Drosophila melanogaster: one gene and its partners. The protein of the gene in region 1 interacts with the protein of each later gene in a biochemical or structural test. Each region holds a gene or a part of one and is shown in the gene's direction. Other genes may lie near its edges.

What was found.
Region 2: of the proteins of Cul1 (region 1) and Uba3, one has a biochemical effect on the other in vitro, tested with the Drosophila melanogaster proteins (one study listed by BioGRID).
Region 3: the proteins of Cul1 (region 1) and Cand1 form a complex in vitro, tested with the Drosophila melanogaster proteins (one study listed by BioGRID).

What each region holds. Positions count from the first base shown.
Region 1 is NT_033778.4:7,914,528-7,923,187, forward strand, and holds Cul1 (cullin 1), read left to right. Parts: upstream 1-2,426; 5' UTR 2,427-2,581; intron 2,582-2,650; exon of another isoform or gene 2,651-2,807; intron 2,808-3,204; 5' UTR 3,205-3,436; coding exon 3,437-4,312; intron 4,313-4,373; coding exon 4,374-5,420; intron 5,421-5,476; coding exon 5,477-5,878; 3' UTR 5,879-6,446; coding exon of another isoform or gene 6,447-6,524; 3' UTR 6,525-6,587; coding exon of another isoform or gene 6,588-6,945; 3' UTR 6,946-7,052; downstream 7,053-8,660. Other genes in the region: CG30377 (uncharacterized protein), read left to right, coding at 1-33; CG12159 (uncharacterized protein), read right to left, coding at 838-994, 1,374-1,825; Or43b (odorant receptor 43b), read right to left, coding at 6,447-6,524, 6,588-6,945, 7,241-8,016. UniProt on the Drosophila melanogaster protein: Core component of multiple SCF (SKP1-CUL1-F-box protein) E3 ubiquitin-protein ligase complexes which mediate the ubiquitination of proteins involved in cell cycle progression, signal transduction and transcription.
Region 2 is NT_033778.4:13,855,763-13,861,584, forward strand, and holds Uba3 (Ubiquitin-like activating enzyme 3), read left to right. Parts: upstream 1-3,189; 5' UTR 3,190-3,235; coding exon 3,236-4,588; 3' UTR 4,589-4,668; downstream 4,669-5,822. Other genes in the region: tum (tumbleweed), read right to left, coding at 659-735, 791-1,578, 1,648-2,581, 2,645-2,723; CG16935 (uncharacterized protein), read right to left, coding at 4,669-5,528. UniProt on the Drosophila melanogaster protein: Catalytic subunit of the dimeric Uba3-APP-BP1 E1 enzyme. E1 activates Nedd8 by first adenylating its C-terminal glycine residue with ATP, thereafter linking this residue to the side chain of the catalytic cysteine, yielding a Nedd8-Uba3 thioester and free AMP.
Region 3 is NT_033779.5:10,357,634-10,366,544, reverse strand, and holds Cand1 (Cullin-associated and neddylation-dissociated 1), read left to right. Parts: upstream 1-3,837; 5' UTR 3,838-4,037; coding exon 4,038-4,082; intron 4,083-4,147; coding exon 4,148-4,531; intron 4,532-4,589; coding exon 4,590-4,879; intron 4,880-4,960; coding exon 4,961-5,123; intron 5,124-5,183; coding exon 5,184-6,542; intron 6,543-6,606; coding exon 6,607-7,834; intron 7,835-7,896; coding exon 7,897-8,043; intron 8,044-8,107; coding exon 8,108-8,238; 3' UTR 8,239-8,411; downstream 8,412-8,911. Other genes in the region: lft (lowfat), read right to left, coding at 396-774, 865-1,055, 1,117-1,280, 1,355-1,427; pim (pimples), read right to left, coding at 2,721-2,956, 3,020-3,343, 3,407-3,446; ClpP (caseinolytic protease proteolytic subunit), read right to left, coding at 8,760-8,911. UniProt on the Drosophila melanogaster protein: Key assembly factor of SCF (SKP1-CUL1-F-box protein) E3 ubiquitin ligase complexes that promotes the exchange of the substrate-recognition F-box subunit in SCF complexes, thereby playing a key role in the cellular repertoire of SCF complexes.

The sequences.
Region 1 (8,660 bases):
CGCGGCAAACGGATGTTTGGCAGCATGATTTGATTTCGGGAATTCCCATCGGGGATGCCGATCGCCGACCCACGCCGTTGGCTATGTAGCCACACCAGTTAGCTCCTAGATCCGACTCTGGTAGGTCGGGAGAATGGAAAATGGCTCGGCGGAATATTACAAACTACAGTGCCAACTACAAATGTAAAACGTTAGCGAAGCTCAAGTTTAGTGTTAGCGGTAGTCGTAAGCTCCTGTGGTATTTCTTGGCAGGGCAGGGCCGCCACAGCCACAGCCGCAGTCGCAGTATTGTTAATAAATTATTTATGTGATCCTAGTTAATAAGTACAAGTTAGTGCATTTGTTTCCGTGCGTACGCGTATACTGCCTGTATCCAGCCTATGTATATCCTTTGTCACAGCTATCCATAAGCCCATTAACCTGTATTAAGTCTACGTTTGTAACCAATTATAGCTAGATTCGTCCTGTGAAAGTGTGAAGAATAAAGAGAGAAGCGAGTACATGTAATATAACATTTATTTATATGGAACATCGACGCAGAGGCGATTTGAAAGCATTGGTATTTATGAGATTTTTAATGCCTTGCATACATATCATCGTAATCGTTATCACAAGTGGTTTTGTTTTCCTTTTTGATTCGTTAAACCTGAACCAACTGCGAGTAGGAGAAATGCAGAGAACTTAGTTATTAGTGGGCTTAGTCGGCTATTGGCTGGCAGCTACAGCTCAAATCTACAAAGCATTAAATAGCTACGAAACAAGGCAAGTTCTGATGAGAAGTGTCGGAAATGGCGGTGCGACCAAACGGATCTTTGGCGTGTGCATGTGTCTGCTATTTCATAATATGCGTATGTTCTGGCGATTGACCTCGAACAGGGTGTGGTCCTCTTCGTCACTATTCACGTCCTCGATGGCCATGGGCAGTGGTGTCAGCTCCTGGTTGGCGCGGTCGCCCTGCACGCCGTACTTGCGCTCCGCCCGGGAAAGTCGGAGCCTGCAATGATTTGCGATTCGATTAGTCTTATCACCAAAAATTGCTAGTATAATAACTTAATAATGTAGGTATGTATGTATAAAGTAAAATTCAGTATATATAGGTAGTCTGTTTTGCATATAGTCCACCGATAAGAATATTTAAAGCTACATATTTAAACATTACGCTTAGTTTTAAATTAGTATTCTAACAATATTTACTGGAAATTTTAATTTCAAGGCACGATAAAGGATCGCTGTAAACTTTTGAAATCCTTAAAAATCTATTCTTTGCTGTTTTACCTTTGCATTACAAAATAATAAGGAAGACTTTGAAATAACCTTTCATGCTTTTCTGGACTCTAGTCTAGAGCTCTAGGATATGTCCTTCATTAACTCACCTATAAACCCTCATAATAAGCAGCAGTATTGCAGTACTGGTGATTCCCACGAGGATGTAGACAACAGCCTGGCCCGGAAAGTCCACATCGGGGGACATGGGAGAGCGTTCAACATGAACATCATCCACGGGAAGACCTCCCGGAGGCTGCACCATTTCCGGTGCCTTGGCATCTCCTGGTGAAACTTGTGTGGCAACCGAAGCACCTGGAGCAACCGGAGCAGGTCCGCCATCGTCTACGACCACCATAGAATCCTTTGGTCCTGCCGGAGGATTCTCTGCTTGCGATTTCTTCACGACTGGCTTTTTGGCCTCCACCTCAGCAGCCGGCGCACTCTGCTCCGCAATTACCACCGTCTTTTGGGGCGTCTGGGTGGCTGCGTCACAGGATTGCTGGTGGAAGAACAGCAGCAGCAGTGCTGCAGCCACTAAGCAGAAGCAGCGACAGGACATCTTTTCGTATCCAACTATCAAAATTACTAAATATAGCCGCTTCTAAGCATAAACAATGACCTTTTAAATTTCTTTGCTGCACTGTTTTTGTTTTGCTTGGCGTCAGAGTTGCCGCACATGTCAAAGCAAACGAATCGAAATTGAAGTAAATGCGTATGCCTTCTATACACGGTCACATTGGTTTGAGTCCTGGAGGAGTTGTGTTTCGTACGGGCATTAGGGTGAACCTGTATAAGACTATATAAGCATACCCTAATTATTTGAAAAGGGTTTTATTATGCAAGTGCTAAGACCAATCGTTTTATATAAAGTATAGATTGTTCTCAAGTTCCAGGAAGTGTGCCCAGGAAAATGACATCTATAAGAAGGTTTCTGTAACCGCTAACGGATTTGTAAAATCTAAGATACGAACCGCGTTGCCGATATTTTACATCACGCTTTGAAGAGCCTAACAGCGATATTTGATATTATAAACTATAATATAACTGCTTTCCGTGTAAAGAATTCCCTGAAAAATGAGATCGCCACCAATAGTGGCGCCCAATAAATAGATCGCCAACGATAGCTGGTCTTAAGCGATACCACCGTCGAGGGCCTTGCAGCGCAATGGCCGAACGGTCACACATTTTAATAGTTAGGAATAAACGAAAGTTAGCAATTTTCACAGAAAAAAAAAATTAATTTAATTATAAGCAAAGCAGTGAAACACAATTTTAATTTAGTTTTAGTTTTAATTTTAGCAGCGTCTGGCAACAGGTAATATAAAGCAAAATGAGGGAAATGCAAAGAGACGGGATTTCGTGCTTTGAAAATGGCGAACAAAAGAGAAAAAGTGTGTGTGCTCCAAGGGGAAATCAAATCCATCACGACGTCACGAAAAGAAAACTCAGTCGCACGGCTCAATTTACCAGGAAAATAAATTTCGTTTGGAGGGAGCTATGTGAAAAATCGAAAAAAATGTTAACAATTTAGTTGTGAAATGGTTATGTCCGCTATCTTTTCTCTTGGCTTTATGTGCCTTTGTGTGGGTGCGGGTGTGTGTGTGAAGGCGAGGGCGACTGCATATGTGTGCATGCGAGTGTTTATTTAACCAGGAAGTTGGGTTTTCGAACACGATCTAACGATAGCGGGGGCGGTGGTGGGGCTTCACCTGCCATGCGATTGGCCAATACCCTACATTGCAGGGCATGTCCGACCACCGCGCATTGCATTACAGCTTGTGCGTGCATGTGTGTGTGTGTGTGTATTCCGCAAGCCTCTCTTTTATTGCTGTGACATTGGATCATAATAGGCGACCTTCGGGTCGTCGCTTTTAACGTGGCGAGGCCTACTACATTCCCAATCCCATTCCGTTTTTGTACCGATTCTCTCATCTGCAGATTGACACTTTAAATTCCAAAATTGGAACACCGATTCGCCAAGATTCCGGCCACAACTCCAAGGACGAGAGCCGCGAAACGACGCCACCTGGAAAGCAGCAGCAATCCCCTGTCGCCCGCGCAGCATTCGCCACCTAGGGTCATTGCCTTCTCCAGCCCAGCGCCACTGCAGGGACAGCATCCTCCAGTGGAAGAAGGCAGAAGGCCGTTGCCACAACCCACCGCCGCCAGAATGAACCGCTCCGGCAATTCCCAGACCACACAGAAACTCGTCAACCTGGACGATATCTGGAGCGAATTGGTCGAGGGCATTATGCAGGTGTTTGAGCACGAGAAGTCCCTCACCCGCAGCCAGTACATGCGTTTCTACACTCACGTCTATGACTACTGCACCAGCGTGAGCGCGGCTCCAAGCGGACGGAGCAGCGGAAAGACAGGCGGAGCGCAGCTGGTGGGCAAGAAGCTGTACGACCGGCTGGAACAATTTCTCAAGTCATACCTGAGCGAGCTGCTCACCAAGTTCAAGGCCATCAGCGGCGAGGAGGTACTCCTGTCGCGCTACACCAAACAGTGGAAGTCGTATCAGTTCTCCAGTACCGTTCTGGACGGCATCTGCAACTACCTGAATCGGAACTGGGTGAAGCGCGAGTGCGAGGAGGGGCAGAAGGGTATCTACAAGATCTACCGACTGGCCCTCGTCGCCTGGAAGGGACATTTGTTCCAAGTGCTAAATGAGCCGGTCACCAAGGCAGTGCTCAAGTCCATTGAGGAGGAGCGTCAAGGCAAGCTCATTAACCGGTCGCTGGTCCGCGACGTTATCGAGTGCTACGTGGAGCTCAGCTTTAACGAGGAGGATACCGATGCCGAGCAGCAGAAGTTATCCGTCTACAAGCAAAACTTTGAAAACAAGTTCATCGCAGACACATCAGCCTTCTACGAGAAGGAGTCGGACGCCTTTCTGTCCACCAACACGGTCACCGAGTATCTGAAGCACGTCGAAAACAGGCTGGAGGAGGAGACGCAGCGCGTCCGCGGCTTTAATTCAAAGAACGGTCTTTCCTATCTGCACGAGACCACAGCGGATGTGCTGAAGTCCACATGCGAAGAGGTGGGATTGCCTACCGTGTCCAACTTTAAAGCCGCCTACTAACCGAATCAATGTCTTTCAGGTTCTTATCGAAAAACATCTGAAAATCTTTCACACCGAGTTTCAGAATCTGCTCAACGCAGACCGAAACGATGATCTGAAACGGATGTACTCCTTGGTCGCCCTCTCGTCCAAAAACCTGACAGATCTCAAGTCCATCCTTGAGAACCATATACTCCACCAGGGCACGGAGGCCATTGCCAAGTGTTGCACTACCGACGCGGCCAACGATCCCAAGACGTACGTACAGACCATCCTGGACGTGCACAAGAAGTACAACGCCCTCGTTCTGACGGCGTTCAACAATGACAACGGATTTGTGGCCGCTTTGGACAAGGCGTGTGGAAAGTTCATAAACTCGAACGTGGTCACGATCGCAAACAGTGCTAGCAAGTCGCCCGAATTGCTGGCCAAGTACTGCGATCTGTTATTAAAAAAATCCTCGAAAAATCCCGAGGACAAGGAGCTCGAGGACAATCTTAACCAGGTGATGGTCGTGTTCAAGTATATCGAGGATAAGGACGTCTTCCAAAAATATTACTCCAAGATGCTTGCTAAGCGCTTGGTTAACCACACATCGGCTTCGGATGACGCCGAGGCTATGATGATCTCCAAACTGAAGCAGACATGTGGTTACGAATACACCGTCAAGCTTCAGAGGATGTTCCAGGACATTGGCGTCTCAAAGGACTTGAACTCGTACTTTAAGCAGTACCTGGCCGAAAAGAACTTGACCATGGAAATAGACTTTGGCATCGAAGTCCTGTCCTCAGGCTCTTGGCCTTTCCAGCTGAGCAACAACTTCCTGCTACCATCTGAGCTGGAGCGGTCAGTGCGACAGTTCAATGAGTTCTACGCCGCCCGCCACTCTGGCCGCAAGCTCAACTGGTTGTATCAGATGTGCAAGGGCGAACTGATAATGAACGTCAACCGCAATAATTCCTCCACCTACACCCTGCAGGCCAGCACCTTCCAAATGTCAGTGCTGCTCCAGTTTAACGATCAGCTCAGTTTTACAGTCCAGCAACTGCAGGACAACACACAGACGCAGCAGGAGAACTTGATTCAGGTGAGAGTAGTGTCAATAGATAGAATTAATAGAGACTTATGTAAGAATTTCTTCAGGTATTGCAAATACTGCTCAAGGCGAAGGTGCTGACCTCCAGCGACAATGAGAACTCGCTGACGCCAGAGTCGACGGTGGAGCTGTTCCTCGATTACAAAAACAAGAAGCGCCGAATTAACATCAACCAGCCTTTGAAGACTGAACTTAAAGTGGAGCAGGAGACTGTACATAAGCACATAGAGGAGGACCGAAAATTACTGATCCAGGCGGCGATCGTCCGCATCATGAAGATGCGCAAACGACTCAACCACACCAATCTCATATCGGAGGTGCTTAATCAGCTGTCAACGCGCTTTAAGCCTAAGGTGCCCGTGATCAAGAAGTGCATAGACATCCTGATCGAGAAGGAGTATCTAGAGCGAATGGAGGGACACAAAGACACATATAGTTATCTCGCCTAAGTTTTTGTTAAATGAACAACTTTCGCTGTTTCATCTATGCCAGCCATTAAAAATATCATCAATAAACTTAGATTCGTGTCGACCCTCCGCTACCCTTCCTCCTAGCCCGAAATAAACTGCCGCCGAAACATTCGAACTAGAAGCGAGCTAAAAATACTCCATGCTTCGCATAAAATGTGCAATTCTCGCCAACGCGTCACTAACTCCATCTTCCGACACCCAGCACCTCATTCAAAGAAAAGGCCAGTCGCAGGGATCAAGTGAACCTATTGACCAGATCACAGCCGATGAATCCGGCCTCTGTAGGAACATATTCCAATTGCCGAGGACAAGGTTCCAGGTTCCCAGCCTACAAATAGACTTCTGCAGGGGCTGTACGGTATACATATGTAGCGATTTTCTTTACTTCCCATTGTTCGATCAATATTTGTTTTAACTAGATTATGTTTATTCATAATTCGCTGTATGCATATACAATTATTATAATTCTACGAAGCAAAAAAGTGTTAAGTTCATAAAACTATGTACGTTTACCTCTGGTGCGGTCAATTGTATTGAGTATTCCTTTCTATTCCTTAATGCTTAACTTTTGGTCCAGGTTCATACCGCTCGCGATGGCGTACACGGTGAAGGCGAACTTGGCTACCTGCAAGGATTGAAGTTCGGACTTTGCTTCCTTCCCCGTTCTAACCGAGAGCAGTGGACTTACATTGATGTTAGTGGCCAAATTAATGTTAAATATGTTCATGGCGGTGAAGGTCATGGGCTGCTGCAGTTTCTGCAGGAACTGGATGACAGTCCGCTGGTATCGCTTGTCCTGCACCCACCAGGCGGAATGGAAAAGTGCGTGGGCCAGTTCTTTGCAGTCGTCCACGATGGCGTTGCAGTAGAAGCAAAGCGGAAAAGTCTGCAGAAGGACGGCCATAACGTAGATGACTATGCCGAATCGGGTCGATTGATCAGCGAACAATACCATGTTGATCATAATTATGCCCAGGATCGATCCGCATATGATGAATTGGGCAAATATCGTGCCAGAGATGATTGGTTGAATGGCATCACAAAAACTGCATGGGAAACAGTGGGATGGGTTTTTAACATTGAAAATTTAAATTAATGCATATATTTTAAAAAATGTAAGCTAATTTATTTGAAATAAAATAGTTTTATGTCGAATCGTTTGATATACCATTTATTTTATCCTGAATGTAAAAATATACTCTTATATATTCAGAAATATCAATAGCGAGTTCTTATAAAAGTTGTACTTTTATTCAGTTTTCCGAATAAATTCAGATCCGTTGAGTGAAAACATAATTCACGGTTGTTGATATTTCCGGTAGGATAATGAAACTGACTTACTTTAGCATGGTTCTGTGTGCCTTGATACAATCCACCAACGATTTAAACATGTAGCTCGGGTCGCTGCTACCCTCGTTGCTGGGATCGCCCAAGTAAATGATACGGTCCTTGAGCAAGAGAATATGAGTTCGCAGGGCTGCCACGTAAATCACAGGGTAGGAATCGGTGGCGGTGGCCACATATATGGCATAACCCACGGTGAAGTACTCCAGAAAACTCTGGATGTACATCTGGGTCCGATCGACTCGCCAGTTTATGAACGGATAGTACGTATTGTAGGGAACACGGTGGTGCAGTAGTCCGTCCAGTAGCGTGGAGGTGGCGTAGAGGACGTAGACCACGACGAAGGTCAGGTACAGTCTTGTAATAGTGGCCACCATGTCGCGAACCTTGCGCTTCTCCGCCGGCTTCACGCAGTACTTATCCAATTCGTCAAAGTGCTTGTTGGCCAGCTCCAAGCGGTGCGTATAGACGATCAGAGTGAAGAACTTCAGAGCGAAGCACCAAGTGTTGAGGCACAGTTGCAGGGATTGCAGCAGCAGCTCCGGCGGGAACTCCGCCAGATGTATCACATAGTTGATTGGGAAACTTACGGGAAGTATCACCATATTGTAGGTGAACGAAAACACCCTCCAAATCTTGCGGCCTATACCGAAATCGTTCTTCAAATTCAAGCCCGAATTTCGCAGCGTCTCCATCATGTATGCATTCGAATCCCTAGACTGTATGGGCTCCGATATAGGAGCCGGATAGACGAGCTTAAAGTGTCCGAACATCTAAAGTTTCGAATGTTTAAGGCTATAATATAACTGGCGATAGGAGGAGCTCGGAATGCTTTTATAGTCCGCGATTTGTAGTTCTTAATTAATGTTTGCCAATTTAGTAGGCGTTCCTCTTTTGGTTGCAAAGAATTTTACACATGTGATAACATATCAAATTATTAAACCATATTTCTGTGTGATTATAGACATTGGCCTTTAGGGTGTTTTTTTTTTAAATGATTTTTTCTGATAGTTCCTTAAAAATGGTTGCCAATTTAGTGGGCGTTTCTCTTTTGGTTGCAAAGAATTTTACACATGTCATAACATATCAAATTATTAAACGATATATCTGTGTGATTATAGACATTGGCCTTTAGGGTGTTCTTTAAAAAATGATTTTGGCATTTTCAGATTTAAATTGTGTTGCAATACTTCTTTCGGTGGGAACAGACACTTGTTAAATTAAAATGTGAACGGACAAATTCAGTCTGCCCTACAGCTACAGCTTAAAGATTTACATATTTGTTTGCACGAATTTGCTTGTCTTCTAAATTATACACACATATCTTCTTAGTTATGTCGTCATGTCCTCTTAAAATGTATAAAAATTTACCAAAGAATATCACTACTAGATCTTTGATTGCTGCGGCGCGAAAATC
Region 2 (5,822 bases), 5.9 Mb from region 1:
TTCCAATCGACAGACTGACGGTTCCATGGCGCAGTTAAGGGTATTATTACGAGAGTTGTCCAAACCAGTTTGATGATGATACGGCTCTAGCTGTGCACAATTATCAGTCATGGGGTTTTCTGAGCGGCAGTCAGTATTTTCAATGACCGAGCTTATCACGTTTTTAGATAATCCTATCAAAGGGATATTCCAAAGTTGTATCGAGTTTGCCATTAGTTGTGATGCACGTTTTGTGGCGAAACATTCCCGTTTCCAAATCCAAATCCGGAAATGTTTAATATACTTTTGGTTACTAACATGCCTCCAATAATTTGCCATCAAGAATATAAAAAAGTAAGTTCACTAAACAGATTCAAAAATATTTGAACTTGAATAAAAACTTGTTATATTCTTTTATCGTTTATTTATATATTTGTTCATTGTTCTTATTGCTTTTCAAATGCATATTTTAGTTTATTTCTCTGGTGAGTATACTTATGTTAGTACGATAATAACGTGCTTTAGTTTATAATCGAACGCATAAATTATAAAGAAAAGCTTATGGTTGGGTTGGGTACAAATACAGCTCGGGGTTGGCTGGCCGGAAACAAAAAACTTGCAAAATACTTGAAGTAAACTTAAGTAACACGTCAAATGCTTTCCAACAAGGAAAGTCTCGTTATTTCTTGTGCGCAGATGCCGGCGGTGTGCCGTAAAACTTCCGCTTCTTAATGGTGCCTCCTTTGAAGGGAGTTGCTGTGAAGGAGAGATAATTAGAATAATTAAAAAAATTAGCTCATAAATAACTCACCATATAGCGAGAGTAAGTCATTTTTGTTGCTTGGCACCCGCTTGATAACTGTGGCCGGTGTTCTTGTCGGATCTATAACGATATATTGCTCCCAGAACGAAACGGGCAGCTCAAGAAGTGCCTTCATCACCTGCTTCTGGGTGAAAACTTCCGTGTAGATCGCATGCTGGTCGGGATCTGGTGTGGAGTAGCCCACAATGGTGGGGCCAAAGATGAGCGAGATGTTATCGATCGGCATTAGCACGACTGGGCACTGGGCAATTCGTTGGAAGTGCAGTATGAGGAAGGCCAGCGTATCCCTATTGGCCTGTGGTAGCTGCTTCACCGACTTAACCAACATATCCTGGGCAGTTTTGGTGTCAGGATTTTGGACTGCGTTTGCGAAATCCTTCCATTGGCTGGTGGGAATGAGAGGCTCTGTTAGGGACCTCAGGAAATCCTTGACACAACAGCACAGCACATAGATATCCGTGTTGCCCAAATGTGGAGTGGCCTTGCCTCGCAGGAACTGCTCCTTGAGGGCCTTGTACTCCCGCTCCGACGAGGACAATCGATAGAGGCCAACCTCGGTCAGGCCGCGGGCTTCAATCTCATTTACGCAGTGCACAATCAGTGCCGGGATCATGGGTGCAATAGATGGTGCAAAGTCCGTTACATAGCCAGTCATGGTCTTCGTCGTCGGTGTTCCCGTTTGCGGCACACAGCTAACGGTGAGCAGATACCGACAATCGATGTGACAGCGCACCGGGCAATCCCGACATCTCAGCCCAACGGCTCCAAACCGTATGCTGAAGAGTATAAAAAGTATTTAATTAATAAAAAAAACCTACTTGGAGCAGAACTTCTAGTAAGCTTACCGTTTCTGACACTGAACGCAATTGTCGCCACGCAAGAATGTCTTCTGACTGAAGGTGTGGTTCCTCATCAGTGGACGGTGCTGCAGTGGCGTTCCGGATTCAGCGACAACGTGAGGTGCCATAGCATTTACCGGCGTCAGCGGCGGTGCGGTGGCCTCTTTAAGCACCGATCGCCGTGGCGTCGAGGATAGTCCGTCGCCGATCCTCTCGTTGCCGGCAATTACAGGCAGCGACTCAATGGTCGACTCTGCACGAATCACGCCCTGTCCATCCTGGGGTATGGTGACCTTGGTGGTGGCACAAAAGCGCTCAGCGCCTTGACCCACGTCCACCGTGTGTTGCTCCACTCCGATTCCGACGCTAGAGCGCCGCGATTTGCCAGTGGTTGGTGTAGTCCCGGACATACTGCCATTCAGTCCAGTGCTCAATCGCGATCTCTTGTTGCCAACGCTAGGAATCTGGTTCTTGGGCAGCGAAGGACGATGCTCTCGCCAAGATTTTGATGTGCGCACATCGAGGAAGTCGTCCTCGGAGTGTGTAATAGACAAATCCGACAGCAACGATCCGGTGGAGTTGATGTCGCCATAGGACTTGTCCTCCCGCACGGCATTCAGGGACTTGCGCTTTCGCGACGAGGGCAGTGTGTGCAGAAAGGCCAGCTTGTCGCGGGTCTCGTTGTTCAGATTGCGCTCGTGTCGCAGCAGATCTGCCACAGCCATGATCTTGCTCTCCATGGCATCTCGTTCGTGTTCCGCCTGGCGGCGCGCCTTGATCTCCATGTCGATGATGCGGCGTGCGTGAAAGAGTTTGCCCTCCAGGTCGCCCATTTTGGTCAACGACTTGTCCAGCTCGTTTTGTATCCTGGCCGTCTCGGCCGCGTAGCCCGCGCACTTTTCGTGGTACTGCTCGAACATGCGCAAGAACCGCAGGAACTCTAAATGGAATACAAGCATCATGTAGGGCTTCATTTGCCTTGCGTGTTTTCAGTTTTACTCACCCTCCTCAGGAGTTCCATCGGTAAGCACTTGCATGCAGCGTCGCAGATCATCGAAGGACGCCAATGCGGAGAGCGCCATTTTTGCTTGTCTCGGTAGTTCTACGAATCGGTTTTCACTCGCAGGGACTGCCTGCACACTGGTTTCCTTGATTCAACTTCGAAATCTACTGAAAATCAGTAGTATTTACCCAAAAACGAGTGGCAAACGGAGCACGCTGCAAAAGACGCGCTGAATTTTTTCAAGTTCCGTTGTTTTCAAATTGACGCCATCTGCGCAGTGTGACCATTAATGGGTGGCTCGAAATAACAGTAGGGTAGTCATGCTAACAGAAAATATCGATCTGATCGTGTTAGAGATGATAGAGATTGTTTCAAGTTAACAATTCTTTCGGAATTAAATAAAAAATAATTTAATGTTATCCTATTAATACTTTTGAAATGATTATATTAATAATAATATAATTACAATATTTTTTTTTATTTACAATATGTCTTATATAAATTCTTATTCACATAAGCTACCATCACTAATATTTATTCCGACCCGAGTAGTGTTGCTAAACGAATCACAGTCTCGATTTTGTTTGAAAAATGTCTGTCCACTCACCCAATCCTGGCTTAATCCTCCAGAGCAAGCGTTTCAATGGACTGCGGAACATCCTGGAACGCGAAGGTCCCTTCTGCAAGGACGGTTTCGCGGCCTCGTCGGAAAACCTGGAGTTCTTGCAGACCAAGTGCCAGGTTCTGATCATCGGAGCCGGTGGCCTGGGCTGCGAACTGCTGAAGGATCTGGCTCTGATGGGCTTCGGCAACCTGCACGTCATCGACATGGACACCATCGAGCTGTCCAACCTGAATCGCCAGTTTCTGTTCCGTCGCACAGACATTGGCGCCTCCAAGGCGGAGTGTGCGGCTCGCTTCATCAACGCAAGAGTGCCTACTTGCCGGGTGACGCCGCATTTCAAGAAAATCCAGGACTTCGATGAGTCCTTCTATCAGCAGTTCCACCTGGTTGTCTGTGGCCTAGACTCCATTGTCGCCCGGCGTTGGATCAATGGCATGCTGCTATCAATGCTGCGATATGAGGAGGACGGCACCATAGATACCAGCTCCATAGTGCCCATGATTGATGGCGGCACCGAGGGCTTCAAGGGGAACGCACGCGTCATCCTGCCCGGTTTCACGGCCTGCATTGAGTGCACGCTGGACCTGTTCCCGCCGCAGGTCAACTATCCCCTATGCACCATAGCAAATACTCCCAGGCTTCCGGAGCATTGCATTGAGTACGTAAAGATCATACAGTGGGAGAAACAGAATCCGTTTGGAGTGCCCCTCGATGGGGACGATCCCCAGCACATTGGTTGGATCTACGAACGGGCACTGGAGCGGTCCAATGAGTTTAACATCACCGGAGTGACCTATCGCTTGGTCCAGGGCGTTGTCAAGCACATCATTCCAGCTGTGGCCAGTACCAATGCAGCCATTGCCGCCGCCTGTGCTTTGGAGGTCTTTAAGTTGGCCACCAGCTGCTATGACAGCATGGCAAACTACCTGAACTTCAACGACCTGGACGGAATCTATACCTACACCTACGAGGCCGAGAAGTCGGAAAACTGCTTGGCGTGCAGCAATACACCGCAGCCGTTGCCGATTGAGGATCCCAACACCACCACGCTGGAGGATGTGATAAAGCTATTGTGTGATTCCCCGCGTTTCCAGCTGAAAAGCCCAGCCTTGACCACTGTGATGAAGGACGGCAAGCGGCGGACTTTGTACATGTCCGGGGTAAAGAGCATTGAAGAGGCCACCCGAAAGAACCTTACTCAGAGCCTGGGCGAACTGGGTCTACACGATGGACAGCAGCTCACAGTCACCGATGCCACCTCGCCGTCCGCCATGACTCTGCAGCTGAAGTATCAGTCCAATGAGGTGGAGATGGTCTAAAGTGTATCACAGTAGATAACAATTTTAATACACAAGTCGTATATGTAAATAAACAGCAGGCTTAGCCTCGAGTTACGCATCTAAATGCTCATATCCAGTATGTACTTCTTGCCGGTGAATCCCTTGAAGCTCAAGGCAGCGGCCGCCGCGTCTTTGAACTTTGCCAAGGGCACCATCTCATGGTTGGGGGCCACGAACTTTCCCTGCTCCATCAGCTCGAAGATCTCCTTGAACATTTTCGAACGCTCTGGTGAACTGTAGTTCTCCTTGGACCAGCGAGTCATCCAGAAGCCTCTAAATGCAATGTCCTTGAAAATGAGGGGTCCAGTGGCCACTGTGACGGGTTCGCGGGACATTCCGCCGTAGGTGACCAGCACTCCGCCATTGTCTAGATGACGCGACACCTCCGTGGCGCTTTTTCCGCCCACACAGTTGAAGGCCAGACGGGGCTTTTTCAACTTGCCCGACTTGAAGATGTCACTGGTGCGAATTTCGGCCTCTGTTAGGACCTCGGTGGCTCCCAGGCACTGCAGCATCTGCTTCAATTCGGCAATTTCTGGGCGGTCGCGTACAATGCCAACGCTATTGATGCCCCAGGCTCGGCACAATTGGTGCACTGCCTGGCCGACGGCGCTATTGGCGCCGTTTTGGATGACCGTGTCACCCGGACAGAGCTGCACAAAGTCCTTTAGCATTCGGTAGGCAGTGGTGGGATTCACTGTCGAGGTGGCGGCCTCCGCCAAGCCAACCTTCTTGGACACGATCAATAGTTGATCCTCCTTGTAGACGGCATGGGTGGTCCAGGTGCCCAGGCCACTGGCCAAGGGAATGACGTGCTGTCCTGCCTCAAAGCCTTTGACTTTGTCGCCCACGCAGATGACCTCCGCCACACACTCATTGCCGCCAACGGCTGGAAACTTGGGCTTCACCGGGTATTTACCTGTAAAGGATTTATAATAATCATTATCAAAGTGACTTTAAACAAGCTAGGCTTCTTTAAAATTTAAAGCCACAACCTTGAGCATCGTTCAAAGTACAAAGATGTACTGATAACATTCGTTTAACTTTAAATGGATTACTTCTGATTATCCCATAACTGACTTTCAAGCAAGTGGGTATACTTAGAATACAAGTATCTCTGATCTTCAGTTCTTATCCAGTTGTTTCAGCAGAAGATTATCGTTATTAATTATGCAGTTCATGCCGGTTATGGCTATATTTCAGTTGTATCATG
Region 3 (8,911 bases), on another chromosome or scaffold:
TTAGCTGAAACACATCAGAAATATGAGTTTGTACAAAAGTTGAATTCAACTTTGTAGCTTCCCTTGCCTTGGATTCCACAATATATTTGGTTAGCTAAACAATATTAGCATTCATAAAATACAAATGAACTTTTAAGTTAAAATATTATATTTATTTTATTGGATTTAGTCTTATTTGTGTAGCAGCTGTTTTAAAAATCACATTTTCAAAGATTTTTAAATTAATTTTCATAATTTGGAAGTGTTTGTGGGAAGTGTAATAATTTCCGCTTGTTTTTCATCATGGAGATCATATGGTATGCCAATTAAATAAATATTGATCGTCGTTAAAGTTGAAATTATACGATTTATCTAAAAAAAGGGTTAATTTCGATCGTGCTTATTAATTTTTCCAATTAATCATCAATGGTAGCCGAGTTAAGGGCACTGCCGCCCAGCTGATTATGTGCTATCATAAGGATATCCTTCTTCTCCTTCGGAAAGCGCAATTCACGCCCAGCCATGCGAAAGGTCTCCAGCTCCCTCTCGGCGAGCACCAACTCCCTGCGAATAACGCCTGGATTATCGTGCTCCCTGGCAATCCAATCCAATGCCATCTGCGATCGCATCTCGTCGTCCAGGCTCCGGTTCGAATAATGAGCCACCACTTCCTGCCTGGAGCAGTGGCGTTCGCGCATTGCTTTCAGCGATCCGTTCCAGTGAAGCAGTTGGAACACGGTCATAAGCTCCTGGAACTCCAGCATGGTTCTTCCCTTGTTCGCCTCCAGCATGAATCTAAACTCAGAAAAATGTTTATTAATTCATAATACTTAGAAAGATAGGGTTTCAATAGCAAGTGCATATATTATGGTTTATGGAACCCACCTGAATGCTCCGATGCCCGATTCTGTGCCCTCGTTGATTTGCGATGTGCCCTTGAAGGAAGTGCGAGCATCCTGAACCGCCTTTTGAATGAACTCATCGCTGATTCGACGCGATGGATGCTCATTAAAGACGGAATTCATTAGGGCGATCTTGGCCGAACTGCGACGAGCCTCTGCCTTGGTGGGACAGTTCTAAAATGTAGTAAATGTGTTACAAAACACTGCGTCAACACTTTGCTAATAACGTAGTTACTTGAAAACTTCCAAAGCAGCTTCCTCCAGGAAGTGTTACGAAGCAAATGTATGGCTGGCTATTAGACGGAATCGATTCGTAAATCACAAGAGCTCCATTTTTCAATTCAGCTCCACGAGACTGCTTCATTTGCCAAAACTCTTGTAGGGCTTCAACGACATTTACTGAACGATATGCGAATTATGCGACTGGTTTATACTAATAGATAAAAAAAAAAACAAACACAAATCAAACTCACCTCTATAATCTCTATCCTCGTAAAATCCAGTTACGGTTGGTAAAACCCAAAAAGGTTCTTCGGGATAGACCATTTTTAAGATTATTCAATATTGTGTTGAACAAAGAATGGTTTCGGGTTTCGTTTTCAGCACAAATAAAACCGCATATCATTCAGTGGCTGCAGAAATTAACATCTAATTAATTTATTGGCTACAAATACTTAGTACATGTGTTAATTTAATTTTTTGTTCACTAAAAGTCCATTGAAGTGTCGGTAATTAGTTTCGATCTTGATTTCATCAGACAGGAAATATTATACATTAACAGCATATGTTTACATACATACAAGAGATGTATTGTTGCACTGGTGACACTGCCACGTCTTTAAACATATGTACATCGCAACATCCCTCGGCAATTACGAGTTTGTCGCCTAAGTCTTTCGATTCGGTGTGGTCGGAAAGTTTGTTAAATGCGTATGTATTTTGTACCAATTGCCGTATTAGGTCATAATTTTAACACAAACACAATTATTAGTGAACAATTGCACATCTTAAGTGAGTCTTTTTATGTTCATTTGCACGAGTATATGTTTATTTGTTAGATTTATACCTCTTTTGCATTTACATTTCGTTTTATACACTCATATTGTTAATTTTCACTTTTATTTTATCCAGGAGAACGGACCACTAAGGTCACCAGCGAGACGAGAAACCTTTCTGCAGCAATGTAAAAAAAACTGGATACATTACTGTGCCGCAGTGTTGCCAACTGTTGGCCACCAGAAAAAAGCCAGACGTCATTTAGCGGGAAAAGGCTAACAAGATGCAAACAAAAGCTAGCTAGCTGGGAAAATATTTTGGTTTACTGAACAAAAATGTTTAATTCCCAAATAAATATAAACTTTTCATATTAGGCAAACACAGAGGAAACCCTAAAAATAGATTAGAATTATTCCACCAAATATCAAATTCAATATAAACGGAGTGAATATACTTAAGCCCCGCGAATGCTGATAAATATCAAGAGACAAAAGGTGGAAGCAATAAACTCTGTTTACATTCACAACTGAACTCCAAAGCTCCATAAATTAATCTCCCAGTTAGTTTTTATAGTTGCTTTAATTCAAAATCACTTCCAAACGAGGTACATCGTACACATATAATTGCCTGTTGGAGGCTTAATGTCGGTTCTTAAACTACTAAATATATTGTAGCGTAAAAAAAATATTTTTCACAAATGTGATTCGAGACAACAAACTTGGATAGCTAATGGTATAACAGTTTCTCTTAGCATAACATTAATAAATAATTAATTAGTAGTACAAAGATACCTAGCTAAAAAATATTAAACTACAATTAATCATAGAACTTTTAAACAAGGATCTAAAATAGAACATCAATGCCTTCCAAGTTAGGCAATGGGGGATATAAATTTAATAAGTATTCAGGCTCTGCAGGCTCCATGTTTTCTGTGTTGTATATGTATGGCAGGTCAGTAAAATCTAGGGGCGGAAGGCATCTGTTTTCCAAATTATTTTCCAATGTGCGCAGATCAAGATAAAGTTGATCCAATAGTCCTTCATAGCCCTCTTGATTTTCCGACCAGGTCTCTGTGACCGCTGTAATAATACAACTTATAGTACAATTTTCAAGGGGAGTTGTTTAATATGAGCGGTACTTACGCTTGCTGCAGTTCTTCAAACATTTCTCGTTCGGAAAGTCAGTGTAGTTGAACAAATTGACGACTCTGTATTCGCAATTCAATACGTAGGCGCCCAAAAAGCAGCTATTTGTTTTATACCTAACTTCCTCGCGATCCCTGCTGACCACATTTTGTTTGGGGGCCTTTCGCAGCGAAAGCTTGGCAATACTACCCTCGAGTTTCAGAGAAGTGCTTTTGAACGGGGTTATTCCAGGAGTTTGGTGCATCACATTGTCAAGGTTACCAAGAGGTTTCTTCAATACGGAATTTGTAGGAACTCCATTTTTAATGGGATTCGCTGGCACTGCAATGATAAATGGCTATGTAATTACTAACACGAACGGGAGTCGAACCTAATTCAACTTACAATTAATGCCGGTGTTTTCCTTGTTTAAAATCTGATCCATTTTGTTAGCATTTATTGGTGTTAAAAAGGTATTTTGATTGAATTCTAGCAGTGAGCTGCGGTTTAGTTTAAAATAATTCCTGAAAACGAGCGGCACTTTTCTAGAGATGGGAGACTCTTAGTGCCACATAGCTGATATATCGTTCATCTGAAACGATGGTAATGACACAAAGTATTTTACTAGTAAATAAATTGGGAATTAATATTTGATAATATATATATTTATATTTTGATTGTCATGTATTAACTCAAAAATAAAATAACCTAAATATAAAAATTTACTAGTACATAAAATCTTGTTCCAAAATATTTCTCCACCGTATTTTATACCACGAAAATGTACCAAAACCATTATCGGCATCCAAAAGGCATTAGGGATTATAAAGTGGGTTTTTTAGTTTTTCAAAGTGGGCCCACTTAAGCAGCCTTTATAACAAAATTGAGTGAATATAAAACTTGGAGATTCAATACCGGAAAAATTTCAGTAAATTTTCAAGTTTTAGAACACCAAAAATAGGGCAGCCCAATACAAATACACAATATTTCACTTATCAGTTAATTGCTATCGATCGAACGTTTCAAAGCCTTCGCTATGGCGTCACATCAGTACCACCAAATTGCCAATTTGCTGGAAAAAGTATGTATAGAATTTCATTTTTGCAACATAACGAAATTCTAATTCCGCTCTCTCGTCTGCTGCAGATGACGTCGACGGACAAGGACTTCCGTTTCATGGCGACAAACGATCTGATGACGGAGCTACAGAAGGATAGCATCATCCTGGACGACGAGTCCGAGAAAAAGGTGGTGCGAATGGTGCTCAAGCTGCTGGAAGACAAGAACGGCGAAGTTCAGAACCTGGCTGTCAAGTGCCTGGGTCCCCTGGTCAACAAGGTGAAGGAGATCCAGGTGGAGACCATCGTGGACTCGCTGTGCGCCAACATGATGTCCAACACGGAGCAGCTGCGCGACATATCGAGTATTGGCCTAAAGACAGTGATTGCCGAGCTGCCGCAGTCCTCAAACTCCCTGGCCCCAAATGTCTGTCAAAGGATCACCGGCAAACTGAGCACAGCAATTGAGAAGGTGCGTTATATTGCTATTCCCTAGGCACCCAAACGTTTAATCCGTTGTTCCTTAATAGGAGGACGTCTCTGTGAAACTGGAGTCGCTGGACATTCTGGCCGATCTGCTCTCTCGCTTCGGGGAGTTCCTCGTTCCCTTCCACAGCACCATTCTGAAAGCTCTGATGCCCCAGTTGGCCTCATCGCGCCAGGCTGTTCGCAAGCGTACCATCGTGGCCCTGTCATTTCTGCTGATCCAGGCCAATAGCAACGCCTACAACGGTGTCATCGATCATCTGCTCGATGGCCTAGAGAACCCACCAAATCCAGCTGCCATTCGAACTTACATTCAGTGCCTGGCTTCGATATGGTAAGTTCCAATTCCTGAAATTGTTATATATTTTATGCCATATGATCTTTAGATGCAATTTTATTTAACTTTACTCTTTAGTCGACAGGCTGGCCATCGACTTTGCAATCACATTGATCGCTCCATGCTCCTGCTGAGCCAGTACAGCCAGCGGGATGACGATGAGCTGCGCGAGTTTTGTCTGCAGGCCTGCGAAGCTTTCGTCATGCGCTGCCCAGATGCCATAAACCCGCATATTCCCATGGTAAGGAGTACACATGCTTTATGTTCTCATTCACGTTTAATAGCTTATGGGTTTTGTTAGATCCTGGAGCTGTGCCTCAACTATATCACCTACGATCCAAACTACAACTACGAGACGGATGATGGCGACACTGGCAATGCCATGGACACGGAGGATGATGAGTACGTCGATAGTGAGGAGTACAGTGACGACGACGACATGAGCTGGAAGGTTCGTCGCGCTGCAGCCAAGTGTCTGGAGGTCTTGATATCCACACGGCAGGAGCTCGTCGAGGACTTCTATCGCAGCCTGAGTCCGGCTTTGATTGCGCGCTTCAAGGAGCGTGAGGAGAATGTTAAGTCCGACATATTTCACGCCTATGTGGCCCTGCTAAAGAACACACGCCTCACCGACGACGTGGCCAACGACCACGACTCAATGGATCAGGTATCGGGTCCGACCTCGCTGTTAATTGAGCAGCTGCCACTCATTGTGAAAGCCATACAGCCGTTAATGAGGGAAAAATCGATGAAAACGCGTCAAGACTGCTTCCTCTTGCTGCGCGAGCTGTTGAATTCGCTACCAGGTGCCCTGGGACCCTACTTGGACAGCATTGTGCCAGGCATAAGCTATTCGCTGAATGACAAAAGCTCTACCAGCAACATGAAGATCGAATCTCTGGGATTCCTTTACTCGCTGCTCCAAGGACATCCGCCGCATGTCTTTCATCCACATATTCCCCTACTGGTGCCCCTCGTAGTGACTTCGGTCTTCGATCCTTTCTATAAGATTGCCACCGAGGCGCTTTTGGTGCTGCAGCAGTTGGTAAAGGTGATTCGTCCATTAGAACCGAATGCGGCCAAGTCCGACTTTGATGCCCCATCGTTTGTGGGTCAGGTTTACTCGTGCACATTGCAGAAACTGAAAGTGACGGATGTCGACCAGGAGGTAAAGGAGCGAGCCATAGCCTGCATGGGGCAGATTATCGCCAACATGGGCGACATGCTGCAGAATGAGCTGGCGGTTTGCCTGCCAATCTTCATGGAGCGCCTAAAGAACGAAGTAACCCGTTTGAGCAGCGTGAAGGCGTTGACCCTGATCGCAGCTTCGTCCCTGCGCATAGATCTGACACCCATCCTGCACGACGTGTTGCCCGCATTGGGCACATTCCTGCGTAAGAACCACCGCGCCCTCAAGCTGCACTCCCTCGATCTGATCAACAAGATCGTCATCAACTATTCGAGCAACTTCGAGGCGAACCTTCTGCAGACAGCCATAGTTGAGATCCCACCGCTTATATCGGATTCGGATTTGCACGTAGCCCAGTACTCTCTGACGCTTTTGAGCACCGTAGCTCGCAGGCAGCCCCAAGCTCTGGTCGGCATACATGAGCAGTTCTTGCGCTCCGTGCTCATTTTGGTTCGATCTCCTTTGCTGCAGGTGGGTGAATTTTAATTAACAGCTGAGTAATTAGCAAAACTAATAACTGATTTCTTTGCTACAGGGATCCGCATTGAATTGCACGTTGGAGCTGTTCCAGGCCTTGGTGCAAACACAGCTGTCTGGCCTGGACTATCATTCGCTCGTTTCGAAGCTAATGGCACCAGTTCTGGGTGGCAACGGTGACGTCAAATCCAGAGCCACTGCCGGCGCTCCCAGTGAGGTGGTGCAGCTGCACAAGCAGGCCTATCACTCATCGGCCAAGTGCATTGCTGCCTTAACACAGCAGTGTCCCCAGGTGGCGACCCCATTGGCCACAAAGCTGATAACGGATCTGCAGAAGCGTAACGATACGGAAATCATATTCTGTTTGCTCACCATCGGTGAGATTGGCAGGCACTTTGATCTGAGCTCCATACAGGTGCTGCCGCAGACAATTATTGAATGCTTTGGGGCCACCTCGGAGGATGTAAAGGCTGCAGCCTCGCATGCTCTCGGCGCTGTGTCCGTGGGCAGCCTGCAGACATACCTGCCTCTGATTCTGCACGAGATTGAGGTGCAGCCGAAGAGACAGTATTTGCTGCTACATTCGCTTAAGGAGGTCATTTCATCGCTATCGGTATCGCCCAGCGGACTCGCCCAGCTCCTACCCTCGGTGCCATCCATTTGGGATCAGCTCTTCAAGCATTGCGAGTGTTCGGAGGAGGGATCACGCAACGTGGTGGCCGAGTGCCTGGGCAAACTGGTGCTGGTCAATCCCGACGAGCTGCTGCCGCAACTGCAGCAGGCATTGCGTTCCGAAAGCGCCACCATGCGCACCGTTGTTGTCTCCTCAGTAAAGTTTACCATCTCCGATCAGCCGCAGCCCATTGATGTTCTGCTCAAGCAGAACATTGGCGAGTTTCTATTTGCCCTGCGAGATCCGGAGCCCCAAGTGAGACGCGTCGCACTAGTAGCCTTCAATTCGGCGGTACACAACAAGCCCAGTTTGGTGCGCGATTTGCTGCCCACCCTTTTGCCTTGGCTCTACTCGGAGACGAAGGTGAAGAGCGAACTGATTAGGGAGGTGGAGATGGGTCCCTTCAAGCACACCGTCGACGACGGTCTCGACATTCGCAAAGCGGCATTTGAATGCATGTACACACTTCTCGAGCAGGGCTTGGATCGTGTGGATGTCATGCAGTTCCTGGACCATGTCCAGGCTGGTCTGTGCGACCACTACGACATCAAGATGCTGACGTACCTGATGACGGCACGTCTGGCCATCTTGTGCCCGGATAAGGTTCTGCTAAGTGAGTAGTACCAAAGCCTTGATTACTTGAGATCTCTTATTCACTTTGCTCAATTCTTTCAGGACTCGATCAATTTATACAGCAACTACGTGATACGTGCACCCACAAGGTGAAGGCCAACTCTGTGAAACAGGAGTACGAAAAGCAGGACGAACTCAAGCGTTCTGCCCTTCGTGCAGTCTCGGCCCTTTCGCAAATACCCAAAGCAAGTAAGTAAAAATATTGAAGAACATTGTATCTGAAAATAAACTAATTGAAATTCCTCTTCAATAGACAAAAATCAGCAGTTAGTGGATTTCCTCAAGTCGATCAAAGAAACACCGGAATTAAACAAGATCTTCGAGTACATACAGAAGGATTCCATCACCGGTAGCTCAGATATTATAGTAATGGATCAGAGTTAAAAGGGAAACTTGGTTTCAAATTCCTTTACTTAATTAAGAATATGCGTTTGCGCACAAACAAGTATCTCTTTTTCTGATATAGCTTTTAAATTTTCTAATAAGAAATAAATGCAGATCGACTTGAAAGAGTTAATTAGTAAACAGTAAACCACTCCCAAAAACTACCGACAACCAAAAACAAACAAATGCCGTATTGAGTACTGTGTTTATGAATTTTACTAAAAGTTTATTGATTGGTTTAGCATTTTAACGAGGGAGAATGATGGATGATAGGATCCATTTGCTCTTCCTGAAAGAGACTAGCTCTTCAATCAGATAACGATAATTCCAGTTCATCCTCTCTTAACTAAGAGCAACTGATTACGTAAAGGCTTTTAAACATTAATGATGCAATATTAATAATGCTCAATCATGAGAAAGTCGACATGGTGTATTTGGAAAGTGTATATTCTGTGGAAAACTGAATTATTCAAATTGTTTCGAACTTATGATTGAATTTTGGTCTATAGGAAGGTGGAAATTTAGGCTGCCTGCTTGCTTCTCTTCTTCTCGCACTCCTCGGGCACGGCTTTGCCGGAGGTGACGCCGCCGTCCGACGCGGGTCCCGTTTCGGAAACAGTCTCTGGAGGATGTTCAAGCACGTGGTCAATGATGCCCAGCACTTTTGCCTCCT